Mus musculus: one gene and its partners. The protein of the gene in region 3 purifies or fractionates together with the protein of the main gene of each other region. This does not show direct contact. Links are inferred from orthologs where the notes say so. Each region holds a gene or a part of one and is shown on either strand. Other genes may lie near its edges.

Region 1 (4,440 bases), on a different chromosome or scaffold from region 3:
GGGGCAGAACAGACAGAAGGAAAGGTTACAGGATCTCCCTCACTGTCCCCAGCCACGCCCTTCAGATCAAAGTAAGAACTCTTGACAGGTTAACCATTCCTAAACTGCTTGAGAGCAGTGATGTGGAGAGCGCCCTGCCTGCACTCCAGCTAGGGCTCTCGGGTCTAGAGCAAACAGTAGAGAGAAGATGCCTTGGAGGCAAGAGCACCAGCAACTCCTTCCAAACAAGGGGCACCGTGGGCACCGTGGGCACTGTGGGCACAGTCCAGGAACCACTGAAAAGTTCCCGAGTGAGAGAGGCCACTTCTCCATGCTCAAACACAGACCCTCGTCGTTTACCTCAGAGCATATATGGATGAAGTTATACTCCAAGAAAGCTGAGGTGGGAAACTCTAAGAAAATCATCTGGGGCTTCTCTCTCCTCAGAGTTTTTGTTTCTGTTCTTGTAAATCAGGAACATGCCACAATACTTCTATGTCGACTTACAGAAACGAGGAAGCTAAACAGAAGGCAGCTTCTTTCTCCCTCCACACTTAACATTTCAGCACACACAGCACAAGGGTAGGGCCACAGAACAGGAACAACTTCTTTGGAGTTCATTACAATTTTGGTTTTAAAAAGTCTATAGTTGTGCTTCTATTTGAAAAATGACCAATAAATCCCTTTAGAAATCAAAAGGTATAGCTTGCCTGGGCAAGAAGGATATTTATAACTTCTTCGTTTTCATTCATTTCTTCTTTGGAAACATCCTCTTTTGAAAGACTAGCTATCTCCTGTGCAATCTTGGTTTCACACTCCTGTCAAAGACAACACATGATGAACTGTTCGGCCTACATGTAACACACAATCAACAAATGGTCCTCTTAAATTACAGAAATGAAGAAAACCCCAGCAGCAGTAGGGAACTGTCTGTAATGATGACCGGACATTTGCTAACTAGGCTTAGAATATACTGTAGGTAAGAGCAGGGATGGTGGTACCCGCCTTTAATCCCAGCACTCAGGAGGCAGAGGTAGGAGGAGCTATGTGAGTTCAAGGCTAGCTTGAAGTTCAAGGCCATAGTAAATTCCAGGACACCCAGGACAACAGAAAGACCCCATCTCAAAAAGAAAAAACCAAATCAAACCATAAAAGACTATGATGTGGTTCGAGACTGCAAGGTGGCCCCGTGGCAGACACTTGGTATCAAGAAGCCTTCCCTAGGACTCACACAATGCAGAGAACTGACTCTGGCAAGTTGTTCTCTGACTTCCACACTCGTGCCACTGCATGTCCATACCCACATGCACACGCACACACAAAGAATAAACATTTTAAAGTAAGAAAAGACCATGACATGGTTATCTCGGTCTGTGGCTACACTATGAAAAATGCTTATTTCTGATGAATATGCTCCCTTAATCCTGACTGCATGAGATGTCTTGAAGGGAGCTACTGGGTGTCAATTTCATAATGTAACTAATTTTACCAAATACACATAGTCAAGTAACCACCACCACCCTGTTAGGAAACATTGCCCTTGCTCCATCTGTTGGTGCCCAGCACCACAGACCTGCTCTCAATCCTAACAGCTTCTCTCTCGGGTCTCAGATGAACTGGCTCAACAGGTCATTTCTCTCTAGCTTTATACTTGGCTTTAAGATGCTTCTGTCTGTTATGCTGGTGTGAGTAGTTGCTCAGTGACAACCAGTGTGTGAACTGTGGAGAGCTTTTGGAGCTGCTTGGCAGAAATCTGACATTGGGGTCAGGACAGGGAGGTAGGTTTCAGGCAGGAATCTAATTTTGGGTCAGGACAAGGAAGCAGGCTCAGGTAGGAATCTACTTTTGGGCTAGGACAGGAAAGGAAGTCCAGGCAGGAATCTGATTTTAGGCTAGAACAAAGAAGTAGGCTTAAGCAAGAATGTGACTTTGGACTAGGACAGGGAAGTAGGCTCAGATATCTTGGTCATCCTGATAAGGCCTAGAAACTTCGATCCCGGGGCTTTGTTTATTGCCTTGCTTGTTCCTCGCCTATTTGTGTTTATTGTCTTGCTTTTTCCTTAACCTAGAACTGACCTAATTACTTGCATGTAATTAAAATGGTATAAAAGCAGATTGGTAAAAAATAAACCCACCTCAGTCTCAGAGCTGGTTGGGGTCATGCTGCAATGTTGTCTAATTGTCTTTTTTCTTTTTACTCCTTGCTCTTGCCCTGGAGAACTTGTTGACTGACTGAGCTGGCTTGGTCAGATGGTGCCCAACGTGGGGCAGAAACCTCCAGAGACCCAGGGCAAGAGTTAAGGAGGACTCTGGAACTGTTTGTTCCTGAGGTGTGTATGTGTGTGTGTGTGTGTGTGTGAATGAGTGTGAACCACCCAGAGGGTGAACACGCACCAGTGAGATACAGGTAGTGAGGGCAGAGGGAAGATGGGGAGGCTGGAATGAATGCATCCTAACTTTATACCCTCTCACCAGCTGCAGGGCTCTGGGGCTGCTGCTTTAGCTGTTATGAACAGTCTGCAAATGTTCTGTGAAGGCTTATGGGTTGTGGCTGCTTCTCTTAGAGGATAATGGCTGAGTGAAATTTCTGCACTATACGATTGATAATTACATGGTTAATTTTTGGGAAAGTGCCAAGATGATATCAGGGTTAAACTGGTGCTATATTTTTCTTATTTTCAGTCACTAATCCACTGAATGATACTTCTTTAAGTAATTTCTCCCTCAAAAGAGAAGCCAGCATGAAGGAACCTGAGCATGTAGTTACAAAATAAGTCATCAAGGAGAGGGAATGGTCAGGGAGAGAATACAATTGGTAAGAGGAAAAAGAGAAGATAGCTGTCCCTTGTCATACAACCACACTGCCTCTGATATATGTATGTGTGTGCTCACAAACAAGTATAGTCATGTACTTGTATGCACATTTGTGTGCACGTGTGTAGAAGTCTTTGTTGGGTGTCATTCTTAATCCATTCTCAAACTTTTTTTTTTTTTTTGAGTCAAGGTCTCTCACTTAACCTTGACCTCTAGACTATCTGGCCTTCAAGCTCAGGGACCTCCTGTCTGCCTTCCCAGTGCTGAGATTACAGGTATAAGCCATAACACGCGAGTGCTATGGACTGAATTCTGGTACTTATCTTTGCAAAAGCAAGCACTAAGCAACTAAGCCGTTTCCACAGCTAGAGTCCTTTTATTCAACACAGACACACATAACGAAGAGACACAAAAGCCAAACATCCATCTATGTCCCGGACTCTTCACATAAGGGCTGCTGGACAACGCAATTAGATCAACAACTGCAATCTGCCCTGGGAAACTTAGGCACACATCCAAAGCCAAGCATGGTGGCCCATGCCTATAATCCAGCATGTGGGAGACAGAGGCAGCAGGATCCAGAGTTCAAGGTCACCTTGGCTATAGAACAAACTTGAGACTACTGGCCCACATGAGATCTTATTAAAACAAACAAACAACAACAACAACAAAAAGAGTCCATGAGACAGAGGAAACAAAAGATTGACAGTTTAGTGAGCTGGAGAGAAAAACAAAAGGAAAGGTTCCCTCCCAGATTGAAAACTGTGTGCAGCTACAAGGATCTCAGGCTTGTGCTCTCAACAAGTGCCGTATCCTTGAAGCAAAAGGCCTGAGGTGTTGTCTTCTCACAATGACCCACAGCTCCACTCTCCAGGTCCCAGAGGTGTTAACTAGTGTCCGCAGGCTGTGCTACTCAATCTGCTGCTGGGTCTGCATGTGGCTTGTACGACCTTTCAGAGGTGTGGATTTTAGCTTTGATGTGACTGGGAAACTGAATCCAGACTCAGCTTCACACACTAAAGTAGCACAAAACCACAAGTGGGCCTTGTGCACTCCCAACAAAGCAGCAGGGCCACACGGTTCTTCCCTCCAGTGACTGCAAAGCAGAATCCGTCCTGGGCCTTCCAGCCCTGCATTTCCATTCAAAACTCAAACTTCTCAGCAGTGTCTCTCACTCTTACAGCTCTGTCCACAGACACAAACCAGGCAGGAAATAACAAGATCACCTTTGTAATTAAAAAACAAAAAGTCTTTCTAAACTTAATGAAATATTTGATTTATACCACACTAAAGTATGAATAACACAAAGCAGGAAACATTTGTGTGAATAAATTTCCCACCAGAGAATTTAGCATCAACAGACAGGTATGTTCTACTTTTAAAAGAATATCTTACAGCAGTGTACAGAAGGCTCATCCACACTTCCTGTAGGTTTATTAGACACAAGATGTAAGAGAATAACTCACTTGTCTTTTAGCTTCCCTCAGCTTTCTCTTGAGGGCAGTCAGAATCCTCTGTACTTCCCATAATCTTTCTTCTTTAGATAAGTCCTTTATCCCGCCCTGCAGATCTCGATGTAAACAATTCAAAAGGAACTCCTAGATAACAAAAGGATACATGGTGTCCACTGGTCTTGTTATCTGACAG
Region 2 (4,964 bases), on a different chromosome or scaffold from region 3:
TTACGTGCAGTCAAAATACCCATATAAAAATAAAATAAATAAATAAAGGGCCAGTAGTAGAGGGCTTGCTTAATATAGGAAAAATCCTGTGCTCAATCTTCAGTGGCATTTTGGACCAGGGATATAGCTCAATGCTAAAGTGCTTACCTAGCAGGTATAAGACATCTCCATCATCAAAAGGGGGAGAGGAAGGAAAAAAAAAAAGCAGGTAAATATATCACTCATTTAACTGACACCATAGCCAATAATTGTGATGAAATAATCACCATCATACAGGCAAAGAAAAAAGGTATCCAGTCTATCCTTGCTTTAAGGGGGTGGGAGGGACAAGGAAAAATGAAAATAGTCTAAACAAAAGCAACAGTAGAAAGGAAGGATGGGGGCAGGGATGGCCTGGATCGAAACACATTATATACTTGCATGAATTTTAAGTATTTAATTAAAAGGAGAAGAGGTGGTAATGACAGAACTTTAATGTCCCCGTGACTTTCAACTCACAATGACATATAACTATTTTTTAATCCAAGCCCCCCACACTTGCCGGATAGACACTGATGCCTATAGTAGAAGACACACACACATAAGACACACACACACAAGCCACAAGAGAACGGGAAAAACACAATTTCAACTTGCCTAGTGCTTCAAAACTCAATCTTACTGGGGCAAATTTTTGTTTTTCAGGAAATCCCTAGAAATAAACAAGCCACAATGGAATTTGAACGTACACAATCTTATACGACATGAAACCTGAAAGGTCACTGACTGACTTATCGTGTGGCCTGGGGACATTGTTAAAGGACAGAGCAGCCACAGGGCAAGGCAAGGATCCTTGGACTTGTCCTAGTCCACAGCATTGCTCCACTGCCTTTCCCAGGCCTCCCTGTACAAGGTTATATATCTAGATTAACATAACCTAGTTTCTGATAAATATAGGTTGTCGAAGTCCTTTCTCTCCTTCCAGCCTTCCCTTCCTCCAATTCCCCAAAAGAGCAGCTCAGCAGTGAAACAAGATTAATAGGCTGGGTAGAATACAGTCAGAAAAAAAAAATTATAAGGTCTTAATTTCAAATGGTTCTCTGGAAAATGGCAGCCAGCGTTAGCACTAGCAAGACCACTGTGCCCTCCTTTGCACATGAAGTCAATACTAGCCAGAGTTCAGTAAATTCTAAAGCAGAAAGTCATTCCAGTCACCTCTGCTTACAAGGATGAGTGGTATAAAGACCATTGCTGGCCAGATGTTCATAACATAAGGACAGCAGCAGCCTCAGATTAATTTAGCTTGTCAGAAATAAAACGTTAAAAGCTAAATCCACCTCTGGCTTCTATTTAAATAACTACAAGTTAATTTATTAATATAGGATTATACGGAAAGAAAGAAGCCCAACAGTCTTACACCCAACTGTTATGAAATGCCAGGACATTTTGGAAAACTTAAGCCCAGGAGGAAAGAAGAAAAATGGGGATGCTATCCTCCTTCTGAATGCCCCTTGTCTAACATGGTTCAAATGTGTGCCTTGAGACGAAAGCAAAATCTTTTCCAGAAGAAAAGGATGCGAGGGACCTCTCTGATCTTAATTCATCAGGATATTTACTCTGTTTTAATTTACCACACAACTTGACTGAGCTGTTTGCAGCGCACACTCCCCTCTCTTTCTCAGGGAGTCTACCCTGCAAGGCACCTACTCAGTTCTCAGTTTACATGCCCGCCCGCCTCACTTAGTCATCACTGGAATGTGTTACCGATGGCTGCACCTACTTCACCTGCCGCTTTCTATTATTACCTTGTAAGTGCACCCTAAGGCTAAGCAGTGAACTGCACAGGAGAGCAGTTAATAATTTAAATTGTTCCTCTCTAAGAGACCACCTTCCTTCTTAGTCACTAGCCTTACTGAGCTTACAGTGTGTTCTTTGTCTTTTAAACCACAAAGGTTGCAAAAAAAAAAAAAAAGTTTGGCCACTAAAATAAAAGAAAAAAAAATCTCCCTTCTAAAAGTAAAAAAATTCAGCGAAGCATCCATGACACATTCACACTGCTTCATAACTAAATTGCTTGAGTTTAATAAGAGCCTTCTCCTAAAAAGAGGGCTGCTCAAAAAGCTAATACATCCTGTGAATTCAAAGAATAAAGAAATAGCAGGAAATTCCAGGGTTTTGTTTTGTTTTTTTTTTTTCACTTCTAGTAGAATTTACAGCCTTGCCCAAACTAGACTGCTCCTGATAACCCCAGGGAATATAGGGAGGGGGGAAAAAAAAAAGAAAAACAAAATTCCATGCTAAGATTTATTTTCCCCTCTTACACAGAGGGTGGGGGTGGCCTCAATTATGCAGGTTTCTCCTTCCTTCCTCGAAGTACAGTTAGTCCCCATTCTCTTTATCCACTTCCCCAGGTCAAGAAATCTGTCCAATTTTCACTAGGTAAGGAGAGATGCCTCTTAACCCCAAATACGTGCGACAAGAGAGGTTTCAGTGACCAAACGGTCGCGGGAATCCCTTCTCCCTAGTCGTGGAGACACGTCGGAGCTTCTTTCTCAATGAACAGATGTCAAACGGGAGAGCTGGGTGGTTCTCCCTCGGCCTCCAGCGGCCACACCCCTGGCCTGAGCCTTCCCCAAGCCGGTCTTCGGAACCTTGCTTCGCTCCGAAGCCCCCAACTCCCGCTGCTACACCGGAGCGCAGCCCCAGGCCACCACGGTCACTACGATGGAGGCACTTTCTCCCAGCTTTTCCCTCACAACGGTCACACCCGAGGACTCCTTCCACCCTCAACCGTCACGCTCCTCGGCTCTCCTTTCCTCCTGAGCCTATGACCCGGCTTGGGGCTCCCCTCCCTCACAAGCACCGCGAGTCAGTCAGGGCACACCCCAAAGCCAGCCGCCTTGAACTCACCGGAGGCAAGGGCGGGGTGGCGGCGGCGGCGGCGGCAGTCGGAGAGCACAGCCGGGGTGGTGGTGTAATGGTTTCCTGCCCGTCACGATTCTCTCTAGATCTAAGCCACTGCGCAAAACCCAATTTGCCAGGGACAAAGATGGTGAGCCGGAAGCTTTGGCGTAAGAGAATCTCGCCGCCTGACGTCATCTGGGTGCGCGGGAGAACCAAACGGCCAGGTCGTGTCTGTCGCCTCAGCAACGGAAAGGTTTCCCTGTCTCAGGGATAGGGCAGTTGCCTATACACTCAGGAGACCCGCAGTTGCTTTCCCACCGGATATCTTCAATAAGTGGGTATTTTCGGGATTTATTCCCGTGAACAAGATTTTTGTGAAACCTGTGTGAGATATCCTATTTGCTCAAACACAAACCTCAGCTAATTTGCTTGTAAGGTTAAGAAGCCCATAGAGGTGATAGAAACCAGGACTACAGACGGACGGATGAACTAGGAGACGGCGACTCAAAGATGGCTAAGAAGCATTCAGATCTGAGTTTGAATCCCTACATTGAACAAGACTGGAGAAACTTATTAGCGCCCCCTTCCTGCCCCGCCCTTAGGCTTGAGTGGTATAAGGTACCTAAAACAGGTTGTGGATACAGGTTTCATTAGGAAACTATAAACTGGTACAGGCGTTTAGTTACCATGTCCAGCTTCAAAAGAAAAGAAAGACCAACGTCGGGCTGTGTAACTCAGACAAGCCTAAAACTAAGCCCTCTTGCTTCTTTCTGCCTCTAGAGCACTTTGAACTTCTCTATCTATATACCTAGACTCCAAGGCTTAGTGGTGCTTCTAACCAGGCACCCCTCACTCTACTATTGAACAATCTTTTTTTTTTCATTTTGTTTTTTAATGTGCATTGGTGTTTTGCCTGCATGTATGTATGTGAGAGAGTGTTCCCCTGGAACTGGAATTTCAGACAGCTGTGAGCTGCTATGCGGGAGCTGGTAACAAAATCCAGGTCCTTTGAAAGAGCAGCTAGTGATCTTAACCACTGAACCATCTCTCCAGCCGCCAGATTTGAAACTTAAAAAACTCATGGTAGGACTGGAGAGATGACTCAGTGTTTAAGAGCACTGGCTGCTCTTCCAGAGGTCTTGAGTTCAATTCCCAGGCAATCCCATGATGGGTCACAACCATCTGTAATGGGATCTGATGCCCTCTTCTGGTGTCTGAAGGCAGCTACAGTGTACTTGTGTACATTAAAAAAAAAAAATAAATCTTTATATATTAAAAACAAAAAACTCAAGGCAACTGGGTGTGGTGGCACAAGCCTTTAACCTCAGCAATCAAGAGGCAGAGGTAAGTTGATCTTTGTGAGTTCAAGGCCAGCCTGGTCTACAATGTGAATTCCTGGACAGCCCGGGCTACACAGAAAACTGTCTTTGAAAAACAAAACAGATGACTTAACCCAATTACATTTATTTACTGAGCATCTATTAAATAATTTCCTATGTAACTTACATTTAATATATACTTAAGATCTCCAAACCTGATGGTCAGGCTTAGCCTTTAATGCCTTCTAATAGAAAGGTTAATCATGTGCCTTCTATTAGACTACACATTTGAGACTGGGGTTTTTAATGCATTATTTGGTAACTAAAAACTGGCACATTACCAAATTGAAATAAAAACTGACACTATTTTTCTTTCCAGAACTGGGAAAGGATCCTAGGGCTTCACACACGTCCTACCACTGAGTTATATAACCAACCAGGACATACTATTTTTAACTTTTTCCTTTTCTCATGGAATACAGTTTCCTTTTTATAGAGTAGTCTTGTGGGTCCATTAATCAGGAAATCTTGACCCTCTGGCTAACCATGATTGATCAACTTTAAACCAAGATTGCTCAAATGGGTGTTTTCCCCCTTCCTCCCCCTTTCACCTCTTTCCCCCTTTCCTCACTGCCAGGTAGCCCACTGCCTCAGGCGCTGGGGTTACATATATATGCCAGCACCTTCTGTCAGAAGAATCTGACCGTGGACACAATGAGCACTTGACACTTGTTCACTGTAACAAGGTTACTTGGATGAAAC
Region 3 (5,020 bases):
AGCAGTTCCCTAAAGGCAGACATCACGGCTGGAGATGTAGCTACCTGGCTACCTTGCACAACACAAGCATGATCTCAGCACCTCAATGAAACCCACTGGCTAATTTTAAAAGGCACGCATCACACTTTAGAGTTTCTATCTCTCACCCCTTTTAAACCTTAGCAGTGTCTTTGAACTCAGTAGTGCCACATAAATACTGACTCCTACATAGTCACGTACTTCAAAGGCCACAACTGAAGCTCAATCATAGCCAAAAAATTTGCCAGACCAAATTTTAAATGCTACACTCATGCACAGCCTCAGCCCGTGCTGTTACCACACTCGCTCATTCCACAAAACGTGTCTTAGCTCCCTAACACTGAGGGGCCCTAAGGACAAGATTTGTAGCAACTGATCCGTAGGTTACTCTTACGGTGACACTATCACTAACTGTCCATTTTCTATCTCTTCAAACAGCTCTGAAATGCTAACATCTAGTTAAACATCATGTCCCCAGAGCCTAGCACAGAACTGGCCACATCACAAGCACTCTGTGACTGTTGGCTGAATGAATAAACGAATGAATCAACAGATCCAAGCCCAAAGTTCTACTTTTTAAAATATCAGAATGCACAATGTGCAGCTCTCAGGATGAATTCCAGGGAAGCCTAGAAAACAAAGGCTGATTCTGTGTTTTCTCTTTCCCACCACTCTTCCAGACTCAGAGAATAAGCAAAGCTTAGGGCAACACGTGATGAGAAAACATCCTAGCTGAAAAAAATGTTCCTGGGCTCTGAGGCCATCCTCCTGATCTCATCTCCTTCCTCATTCTCTCTCTCTCTCACCCCCCTCTCCCTCCCCACCCCCCACTGTAGTCAAGGACTTTGGCTACAGGATAAGAGTCAGCTCAGATTCCAAGGTACAGATCTGGCAGCAGACATAGCAGCATCTCCCACCCTGCACCAGAATCCTCAAGGAAAGGTTCAGAAAGGATTGTAACTCAGGCCCAGATTAAGTCCAGTCGGAACAATACTAAGAATGGAAAATAAAAAATAAAAAAAGCAGCAGTAATTTACAAGGAAATTATCAGATATCTCTTCAAAATTGTGCTTTTTAAGTATAGGCTTCAATGTATCCTCAGAAACTGGGCCTTGCCAAATCCAGTACTTACACAAACTAAGTCTAACACAGCTTTGGCCTCTTCCCACCCACCCGTCCACCACCCTACAAGACTCACCATGACAGGCAGTTCCTAGGCCCAGGTAGAGGTCCTTCCTTCAACCTCAGCTTGCAAAAGCCTCCTTTTCGAAGGGGCTGCTTAGCTCTCATTCCTCCTTCCCTCGCTGATAGACTAGCCTCTACCACCATGCTGCCTTCACTGAGGCCTCCCCCAGACCCAAGCCTTGGCAGGCTGTAACGCAACCTACAGCAGACTGGTCCTATCCAATTAGTTTAAATTGCTTCATGCCAAGGAAATTGCTGCTTTTATTAAAAATAAAAGCACAGTAAGCAGGCAATGAGCTGTGAAAAGTATCAGTCTGGCATAATTACGAAGGTCGAGGTTAAGGTTACCCAAGAAACACTCAAGATTTTCCCTAAAGCCTGGGGCAGAAAAATATGTATCTGCAGGAGCACAGATAGACCAACGAGCACACACCGAGAGAAACCACACAGCATCCTCTCCAACTGAGAGAACACTAAACCAGAGCCAATCCTAAGTCATTCTTAATAGAAACTAAAAGGAGAAAAGAGGCCTAGGCGTCTGAGTTCAAAACCATCTCATTCGCTTATGATTTTATCTTAGCCACATCCTGGGGACCTCACTGCAGTTGGGTAAAGAAACAAACCTAACCAAAACACCAAAAAATGCATTCCTGTCCCCAGAGAAATCCTCTTTGGCTACCTACTTAAAGAAATAGGAAAGTTAGGTGGGAGAAGCCCCCCTCTCCTTTAAGATCTCTCCCCATCCCCACCCTTCAGCCTCCGCATCAGAATTTAAAGTTTCAGGGAAATGGCAAGACCACCACCCTGCATTTCACTTATACTTCACACATAGGATCCGAATAATTCGGTCAAAGGAAGAGATTTCTCCACGCGCTCCCCCCACCCACCCAAATGAAAGGCCACTGAGGTAAACTATTTGGGCAATACTGCCCCCCCAAGCCCTGTCAATTCCCAGTCTGAGTTTTAATTCTCTCAAGGACAATGACTCGCAAGGAAAGTGCAGAGGGGGAAGGGAGGGTCAGTTGGTCAAAACCCATTCATACAACTAGAAACCAGAGTCTTGCCACATCAGCACACGAGATTAATTCACCGCGCACTGGCTTCCCAACATACCTTCCGCCAACACCTCGTCCACGGTGACCTGCTGCCTCCCGATGCCGAAGACCCTTCCGATGTAACCACTGCCCAGGCCTGAGCTGCTGCCCCCTCCTCCGCTGGAGCCTGAACCCAGGCCAGAGCTCCCCTGCTCCCGCCTGGAGTCGAAAAACTTCTTCATCTTTCCAATATGAAATGCCAAGGCAAAATGCCGATGGTTTCTAGGTTCGTATTTGTTGTAAAGAAAAGAGATCTAAGGATTTCTTCTCCGGTTTCAGCCCTGAGCAGAGCCCCGGGAATCCGGCCGTGGGGTGGGGGCTGAGGGACGGCGCCTGCAGGAATAGACTGTCAATCGCGCGGCGGGTCCCCTCCTCCTCGGGGAGCGATCGTTTAAGTTTAAACCTGCGATGACAGAGGCAGAGAGAGGATGAATCAGTAACACACTCCAGAGCCTAACTGCCGGGTCCTAGGGAAAGCACAGGCCGTCATCCAGAGGAAACGCTGCGTGCATTTTCTTCGGGAAAGCCCTGGAAACGCACCGGACCCCTGCCCGGACCCCCGCCCCGGGCCCCGGACACCCACTAGCGGCCGCTCGGCGGCGAGCCCAGCTACCAGCCCCGCGACATGGCCACGGCCGCCGGCCTGCGACACGAAGGAGGCGGCGCTGCCGCAGAGCCGGGGCCGCTTCGGCGCCCGCCCGCCCGCCAGCTGATCCCCGAGCGCCGCGCTGAGGCCGCCCCTCCCCCGCGCGCGCGCCCGTCGGCTCCGACCACCCACCCGGAAGTGACCTGCCACCGGAAGTGCTTCTCAGGGCCGCACAGCCCCTTCTCAGGGGCCGTCTCAGGTGCACCAGCTATAGCTACAGAGCGAAAGAAACCGATGGCAAGAAGGGAACCAGAGCAGTGGAACTCGGGACAGAGACACTTGGAAGAGAGCGTTGCCGTAGTCCTGCCGCTGAGCACCCTGGGAAGAGTAGTTCGGGGTAATCTGGCATCTGGACTACAATTCCCAAGATGCCCCGGGAGCGAGCGCACCTTCGGACGCCGTCTCCAGGGACTGGAGATGATAGTGGAGTGGTGCAGAAGTGAGGCTTCGGGTATTTAAGTACATCTGCTAAAGTCACCAGAGACTAGTTTTCCAGCTGCACGTCCCACTCTCTGTAGCCATTTTATCTATGGCTTGGCCTCATGGACAGAGGCACTCTGGGAATTGTGGTTTCACAGGAGTCCGGACTGACACCTGAAGGACGCGGTTTAGCTGCCTCGCCCCAGTTGGGTTTGGGAGTTCCCCGACGTCATGGGAGCGGAGGTACTGAAGGCTTGGGGGCTGGGGAGAAGTGGGTATGATGCCAGCAGGGAGCCGAGCGGAATCTCGGTGCTGAAGGAAACAAAGCAGGTGTCTTCCGGTCCCCGACCACGATGAGAACTGAGAAGCCTGAGGGTCGAAGAAGGAACTGCGGGAGATCCAGTACACGGAGCATCTAGGGACCAGGCTACATCCATCCTTGGGCTCCACCCCAAACCATGGCCCTCTGCCGACCCAGATTTGCCTGGTCCTTACCAGATATATTCACGCCTTTAAAGGGAACTTTAGACACACCTACTGCTTTCTCTTCAGAATCTTTCGCAAGAAGATGCTGTGTTTACTAAGGATCGCTTGGGTGCGGATAGAGTACAGGGCTGTGTGATTGGCACCTGTCAAATGCTAAGGATTTGGAAAGGAATTGAGATCTCTCCTCCTAGATTGCTTCACAGAAGATGTTGTTGTCGTGCCAAATCCCTGCCTCCCCTGCCCTCTCCCCCAAGAAATACATGGTTTTTTCTCTTTTTTGAGTATAGGTTATTTTTCCACCAGCTCCCCACACTTCTTAAAGATGCAACTACCCTCTTGCAGTTCATCCCAGAATTTCTACTTCAGGCACTTGAGGAAGATCTAGAAGGGGGCCCCCAGGAAATAAAAAAAGATGGGTCTTGCTGGGCAGTGGTGGCTCACGTCTTTAATCCCAGCACTTGGGAGGCAGAAGCAGGCAGATTTCTGATTTCGAGGACAACCTGGGTTACAGAATGAGTTCCAGGGCAGCCAGGGCTATGCAGAGAAACCCTGTCTTGAAAAATAGAACAAAAAAAGATGGCTCTTGGTTAATCTGAATATTGAGTCCGGCTGTGCTGGCGGTGGCTATTGCGGTTTCTTATTTCATGTGGTACCATAGTCATATAACTCTCCGGAGAGAGATAGCATCTTAACTTCCGGAGAGAGCCAGTATTGCCACCTCAGTTCACACAATCCTACAGCCACCTTAAGGGTGAGACTCAGCACCTGCGGAACATCTTCCTAACTCAGCCCAGGGTGTGTTCTCCTCGCCTTCCTTAAAAGGCTTGATTTCTGTTACAGAAGCTTAGTGTGTGTCTTAAAATAGATGGGAAATCTTAGTGGGCTTACAGCCCCTCATCTTTCTCAGCACCATTAATTTTGACCGACCTTTAAAGAGTCTGTTAGTCTGTCCATCGAGCCCTGGTGCCTTATCGGGTTTTAATTTTCTCCACTCTCCTGGTACAGACCAGGTTTGCTCAAATCTCAAGCCTCACTTCAGACAGTCAAGGTTTTCCAGAAGGAGTAAGGCAGCCTACTCCCACTGAGTAACATGCTTTTAGTAGGCACTCAGCCTGAGTGAAAGACCACTGTTTAACAGAAGGGGACTGCAGCAATCATTCCTATACATTGA
Region 4 (5,091 bases), on a different chromosome or scaffold from region 3:
ATTGACAAATGGTCTGAGAGTATAAAAATCACTCCCCCATATATTGTCCTCTTTCACCCTGTTTCTTGATGTTCTTAAATATTTTATTATTTAAAAAGTAATGTATGGGCATTTGTAAGGCATATGTCATAACTTGTTGGAGGTCAGAAGACAACTTAAGGGAGTCAGTTTTCCCCTTCCATCACGTGGGTCCTGGGGATCAAACCGGCCATTAGGCTTGGCAGCAGATACCTTTACCCACGGAACCCTGTCACCGGCTCCATGACCCCGTGCTTCGTGTGTTACTGGCCCAGGTCCTCACCATTCCTATCTTTGATACAAAATCAGCCCCAAGATAACCAACCTCTGCTCTATCACTGACAAAAGCCTCCTCAGGTACTGCTTTTATGAATCATTTCTTTCAAATACCCTTCACAGTTAGTTCTGAGCTCCCGGTCCAGTCTTGATCATCTGGACTCCATTAAGTACTGTCCCACAAGGCACTTCACACAGTAAAGCAGTACGAACCCAGCTGCTCTTCAGAAGGACACCCACCCTTATTTTCCATTCGAGGGCTGTCCCTCTGGTTTGGGTGTGCATTACCCAGCAGCCATGCCAGACCTCTGGAAGAGCCTCCTTCCCCATCCTCTATGCTCACTACATTCAAAGCCAAAACCTTCCCAAGCTTCTCCACTGCTGCCTACTGAATGTATGAAGTCTCCTGCCCCCAGTCTTTAGTAATAGGGCCTCTTCCTAACTGTTTCATTAGCTCCAAACATATTTTAGCTTAGGTAAAATCTTACTATCTACTAGTCCTTGAAAAGGCTCGGATGACTTTGGTCATATTTTTCCTCGGCCTGGAAGCAGATCTCCCCTCCCCATCTCAACGCAGAAGTCCATCTGAACTGTGTCTTTATCTCCTTTGTGCTTGTGAACACAACGTGCCTCTCCCAGGTCCACTTTTCTTTACACCTGAATGGTCCTGTAATTTACAAAGCCCTCAGAGCACCTTGTGCTTCTGTTGAACCTCCAACATCTAGCTCAACAAAGAGAACAAAACTGGGATATGTTTGAATTACCCCCAATGCTTCTCCCTGAGAGCCATGGAATGCTGTTTTCAGAAAATCTCAAACTCTCATAAGAGAAACTAAATCCACATTCCCCTTCAGTCTCACATTTCTATGTCTTAGGCCAAATTTTAAGTAAGCTGCCTTCAAGACTCCAGATTGCTATTCAGTACAGGTTGGCTATTCTTTATCAGCAATGCTTGAAACTGAAGGTTTGTGTACACACAATGAGATATCTTGGGGGTAGGATCCAAGTTTGAAGAGATCTCTTTACATCTCATATGCACAGTAGTCCCACAGTTTGAGAGTCAATTTAAAAGAATGATAATTCTGAACAAGAAAGTTTCATAATATGGAATTTTCCACTTGTGATATTTTGGCCCTCAAAGTTTTCAGGTTAGGAGTACTGCAGATATCCTGGTCAGGGATCGTCAACCTGATCATGTTACTGTGGAAGTCTTGCTTCAGGGATCCTACAATTTCCAACGTGTAATTGAATCCCAAATATTTAAACGACTTAAGCTACCTATGTACAAAGATAATAGAAATTTATTTTCAAATGCCAATACAATTGAGTAAAATATGAAAATAAGTTGGATTCAATTGAACATATCTCAGCTGGAGGTTAATGGACACTAATTTCTATGCCCTAAACATGTAAACACCCTAAAAAAGTCTTGTGTACCATTAGAATGACAAAGTCATTTCCAGTTAACTCTGAACCCCAAAGACATGAGCTAAAATAGAATATGGGGGGCTTCTTGTCCAGAACCTGTAAGTTTTGTACCAAATCCATTAGACACTAGCCCCATATCATTTAACCCATCAGCAAACTATGGGATGTTTTGTGTGAACCCAAGCTAAACCTGGTTTCCTCATCGTAAGAGGGCCATAAAAACAAAAACAGTGAATCCACACAGAATCTGAATTGTTGGGAAAGCCTAAAATTGTCACTATGTTGTCCTCTTCAGCAGCACAGATCTGAGACTTTCTTATCCTTCCCTGGTACCTAAAACACTCACCTTTCCCCACCACACCCCAGGGTTAAGAAAAAATGACAAAATGAAACAAAAGCAAAGTGAGAAAGAATTCACTCCCTAAACCACAGTAGGCACTCGGGTATTGTCTATATTCGAGGTGTGTGTAGAAATTTTTATATCACAAGGGTTTCTGTTAGAAGAAAACTGACTTTCACTCTAAGATGGGCCTCAGAGAACTGGAGGCTGAGGAGGCAGAGTGATGAGATTTCTAAAAGCCTGGAGACTCCTGGCCCAGCCCACACCCACGTCCCAGCACCTGAGCAGTTGAGGGGGCAACAGGACCCTGAGTTCAGGGCTAGTCTGGGATATAAAGCAATAAGCTGTCTCAAAACAAAGTAAAATCAAACCTCTGGCCCAATATTCTGCTTCCACTGCATTATATCCACTTCCATCTCCATGTGTTTGGAGATTTGGATAACTGGCTTGGGATCAATATGAGGATGAAAACTTAAGACGGTTCCTTCCTCCCATACAGTTTAAACAGGCTCTTACTATAGCAGCTATGAATCATTAAGCAGTAGCATTAATGCTCATCACAAATATTAGCACTTCTAAAACAGGCGACAAAGAAGGTTTACCCTTGCTGCTACAGAGTTACGAGTGGCAGAGTTACAGACTGAGGAGACTATCCGCTGTCTGATTCCAGCTGTTCAATAAATCCCAAACCAAACCCACAAGCTCCACTGACTATTCCCGGGAAGGGCACTAGAAGATACTGTCCACCGGCCACCCATTCTACGACCAAGTTCTTTTCACATCTATCTACATGCCAAGTATCAGCCAGAAGTTCAAATTTCTTAGTCTCCCCTAAGAACACAGCTTCCTTAAATTTAAAACAAAACAAAACAACCCCCCCCCTAAAAAAAAAACCCAAACCACCTGCTTCTTGGATACCTTAAGCGTAACAAATCTCACTTCATCGAGTCTGCTCGGCTCGCTCAAAAATCCATATGGCATTTTGCCTGCCTATAGTCGTAACTTTCCTATTGTGCGGGAGTCGAAGAGCTATGTGACTATAGTAGGCATATCCAGCAGACGCTAGGATGCACACACAACCCGAGAGACCCGGGACCTTGCTCTTCCAGTGCACAGGCTGCCGGAGGGATGCAGGCTCCGCAGACCCCCGCCCCCACCCGGACGGCGAGCCCTCCCCCTCCAGGGGTCCCCGCGCACCCCGCTCCCGCACCTGCGGCCTCTGCCCGTCCCCGGGGGAGCCCACTCCCGCTGCCGCTGCCCGGGGCCCGCGCGGCCGGGGACGCGGCGGTACCTGGAGGACCACGTCGTTGGGCAGCTGCGCGGCCCGGAACAGCTCGAGCACTCGCCCGTTGACCACCACCTTCTTGGTGCTCTCGATGTCGCAGTAGGAGAAGAGATCCGAGTAGTATTTCTGCTCGGCGTCGCTCAGCGTCAAGCCTTCCATCTTCGCCTCGGCCCGGCGGCCGCCCCGCCCCGCATGCACCACCCGGGCGCCGGCCCCGCGACCCGGGGCGGCCGGCGGGGTACTGCGCACGGCACGGCCTCCCCGCGGGGCCGCGAGCTCGTGTGGCCCGGGGCAGCCGGCGGCGGTGGCGCGCGGCTGTGCGCGGCCGCAAGCTCGGCGTGGGGAAAAGGAGGCGGCGGCTCCGGGCTCGGCCGCGTCCCTCGGGCTTCCCGCCTCGGCTTCCCCTTCCGCCCACGCGCCCCCCTCCGAGAAGTTGTGGGGCTTCCGAAGTCTAAAGTTTCGGGGGCTCGGGGCTGCGCGTGGCCGCCGCTCCGCCTCCCTCGGCCGCCATTGACTGCGCCCCGGCCCGGCACTGACAGCGGCGGCCGCGCTCCAGACCCGGATGTGAGGCCGGGAGGAGAGAGCGCGAGAGGGAGAGGGAGAGGGAGAGAGAGAGAGAGAAACACCCACCGGGCTGGCTCGGCCGCTCCCGGGAGAGCGGGCCGCAGCGCCCCCTGCTGGCCGGAGCCCCGCGGCACGGCGGGGCGCGGCGAGTGGCCCTGGGCGCCCTCCGCGAGGACCCCAGGCTGGGGGCACTTGGGGACCGACCGGCGTCCCAGCGACGCGGAGGGTTCAGGTCGCACTGCGGGCTGGGGTGCGGCAGCTTCTGGCGTGCAGCATTTCCTAACGGTTTGCACTTAACGAGGATAAGTGCATCGCTTTGCGCCGTCCACTGAAGCAGGGAAGCTTGCTCAGGTGTGGACGCTTAAACCAAGGCTGAACTCGATCTGGTCCCAAGCCGGGTCTTCTGTAAAACCAAGTTTGAAAAAATAGAAATAAAGAAAAAAAAAGTCACCTTTTTTTTTTTTTTTTTTCACCGAGAACCAAATACTGTCGGTTTATGCCATCCACTCGGGAAACCTGTGTAGGCCTTCAGCCAACTCCAGGCCCTCTTGTTGCTCACCATCCCTTCCTTCCTCTGGGGGGTGGGGGGGGGGGAGTCTTAATCTGCATCTGTCTCTGGAGTTCATAGACCCTTAACGAGCCTTTAATCTTTTAAAAGTATTTCTTTCCTGAAACTCTATGAAGTCAGGCTGGACTTGAACTCTTGATCCCCTGCCTTTTCTTTCCTAGTGAAGGGATACCATCACCAGTCAGCCCGCGACCTTGTCAGCATTAAATATGAAGTATTTCAGAAACGGGAGCCAAGGAAGATTACACAGAGGGCTTTTCAAGTTTGGTTTTTATTCTCTGTTACATAGAGCCCATTAAGGGGACATCATTATAAGAATGAGCAGACATAGAGGGCTGGGGATATAGCTCATTTGTTAGAGCACTGTGTGCACAACGCCCTGGGTTCTATTCCCAGCACTGCATAGATCAAGTGTGGTGGTGCTTACCTGTAATCCCAGCCATTTGGGAGGTAGAGGACAGGAGGATCAGAAGTTCAAGGTCATGTTCAGCCTCACAGAACACAGAAGGCCAACCTAGACCCTATCTCAAACAGCCCAGAAAACAGAAAGAAGAACTCTGGCACCAAATGCCTCCTTTGGAGGCTAAATCTAAATGAACGTCTGTGAAGCTC

The links.
Region 1: the proteins of Aak1 (region 3) and Ralbp1 purify together in Homo sapiens (affinity purification with mass spectrometry; 3 studies listed by BioGRID and IntAct, counting the BioPlex papers as one, with this or other methods). This does not show direct contact. The link is inferred for Mus musculus from reciprocal best matches to the Homo sapiens genes AAK1 and RALBP1.
Region 2: the proteins of Aak1 (region 3) and Ap2b1 purify together in Homo sapiens (affinity purification with mass spectrometry; 4 studies listed by BioGRID and IntAct, with this or other methods). This does not show direct contact. The link is inferred for Mus musculus from reciprocal best matches to the Homo sapiens genes AAK1 and AP2B1.
Region 4: the proteins of Aak1 (region 3) and Reps1 purify together in Homo sapiens (affinity purification with mass spectrometry; 3 studies listed by BioGRID and IntAct, counting the BioPlex papers as one, with this or other methods). This does not show direct contact. The link is inferred for Mus musculus from reciprocal best matches to the Homo sapiens genes AAK1 and REPS1.

The regions. Positions count from the first base shown.
Region 1 is NC_000083.6:65,853,403-65,857,842, forward strand, and holds part of Ralbp1 (ralA-binding protein 1), read right to left. Parts: intron 4,392-4,440; coding exon 4,260-4,391; intron 798-4,259; coding exon 690-797; intron 1-689. UniProt on the Homo sapiens protein: Multifunctional protein that functions as a downstream effector of RALA and RALB. As a GTPase-activating protein/GAP can inactivate CDC42 and RAC1 by stimulating their GTPase activity.
Region 2 is NC_000077.6:83,300,763-83,305,726, reverse strand, and holds the start of Ap2b1 (AP-2 complex subunit beta), read right to left. Parts: upstream 3,031-4,964; 5' UTR 2,890-3,030; intron 1-2,889. UniProt on the Homo sapiens protein: Component of the adaptor protein complex 2 (AP-2). Adaptor protein complexes function in protein transport via transport vesicles in different membrane traffic pathways.
Region 3 is NC_000072.6:86,847,512-86,852,531, reverse strand, and holds the start of Aak1 (AP2 associated kinase 1), read right to left. Parts: upstream 3,028-5,020; 5' UTR 2,480-3,027; coding exon 2,317-2,479; intron 1-2,316.
Region 4 is NC_000076.6:18,054,378-18,059,468, reverse strand, and holds the start of Reps1 (ralBP1-associated Eps domain-containing protein 1), read right to left. Parts: upstream 3,530-5,091; 5' UTR 3,507-3,529; coding exon 3,354-3,506; intron 1-3,353. UniProt on the Homo sapiens protein: May coordinate the cellular actions of activated EGF receptors and Ral-GTPases.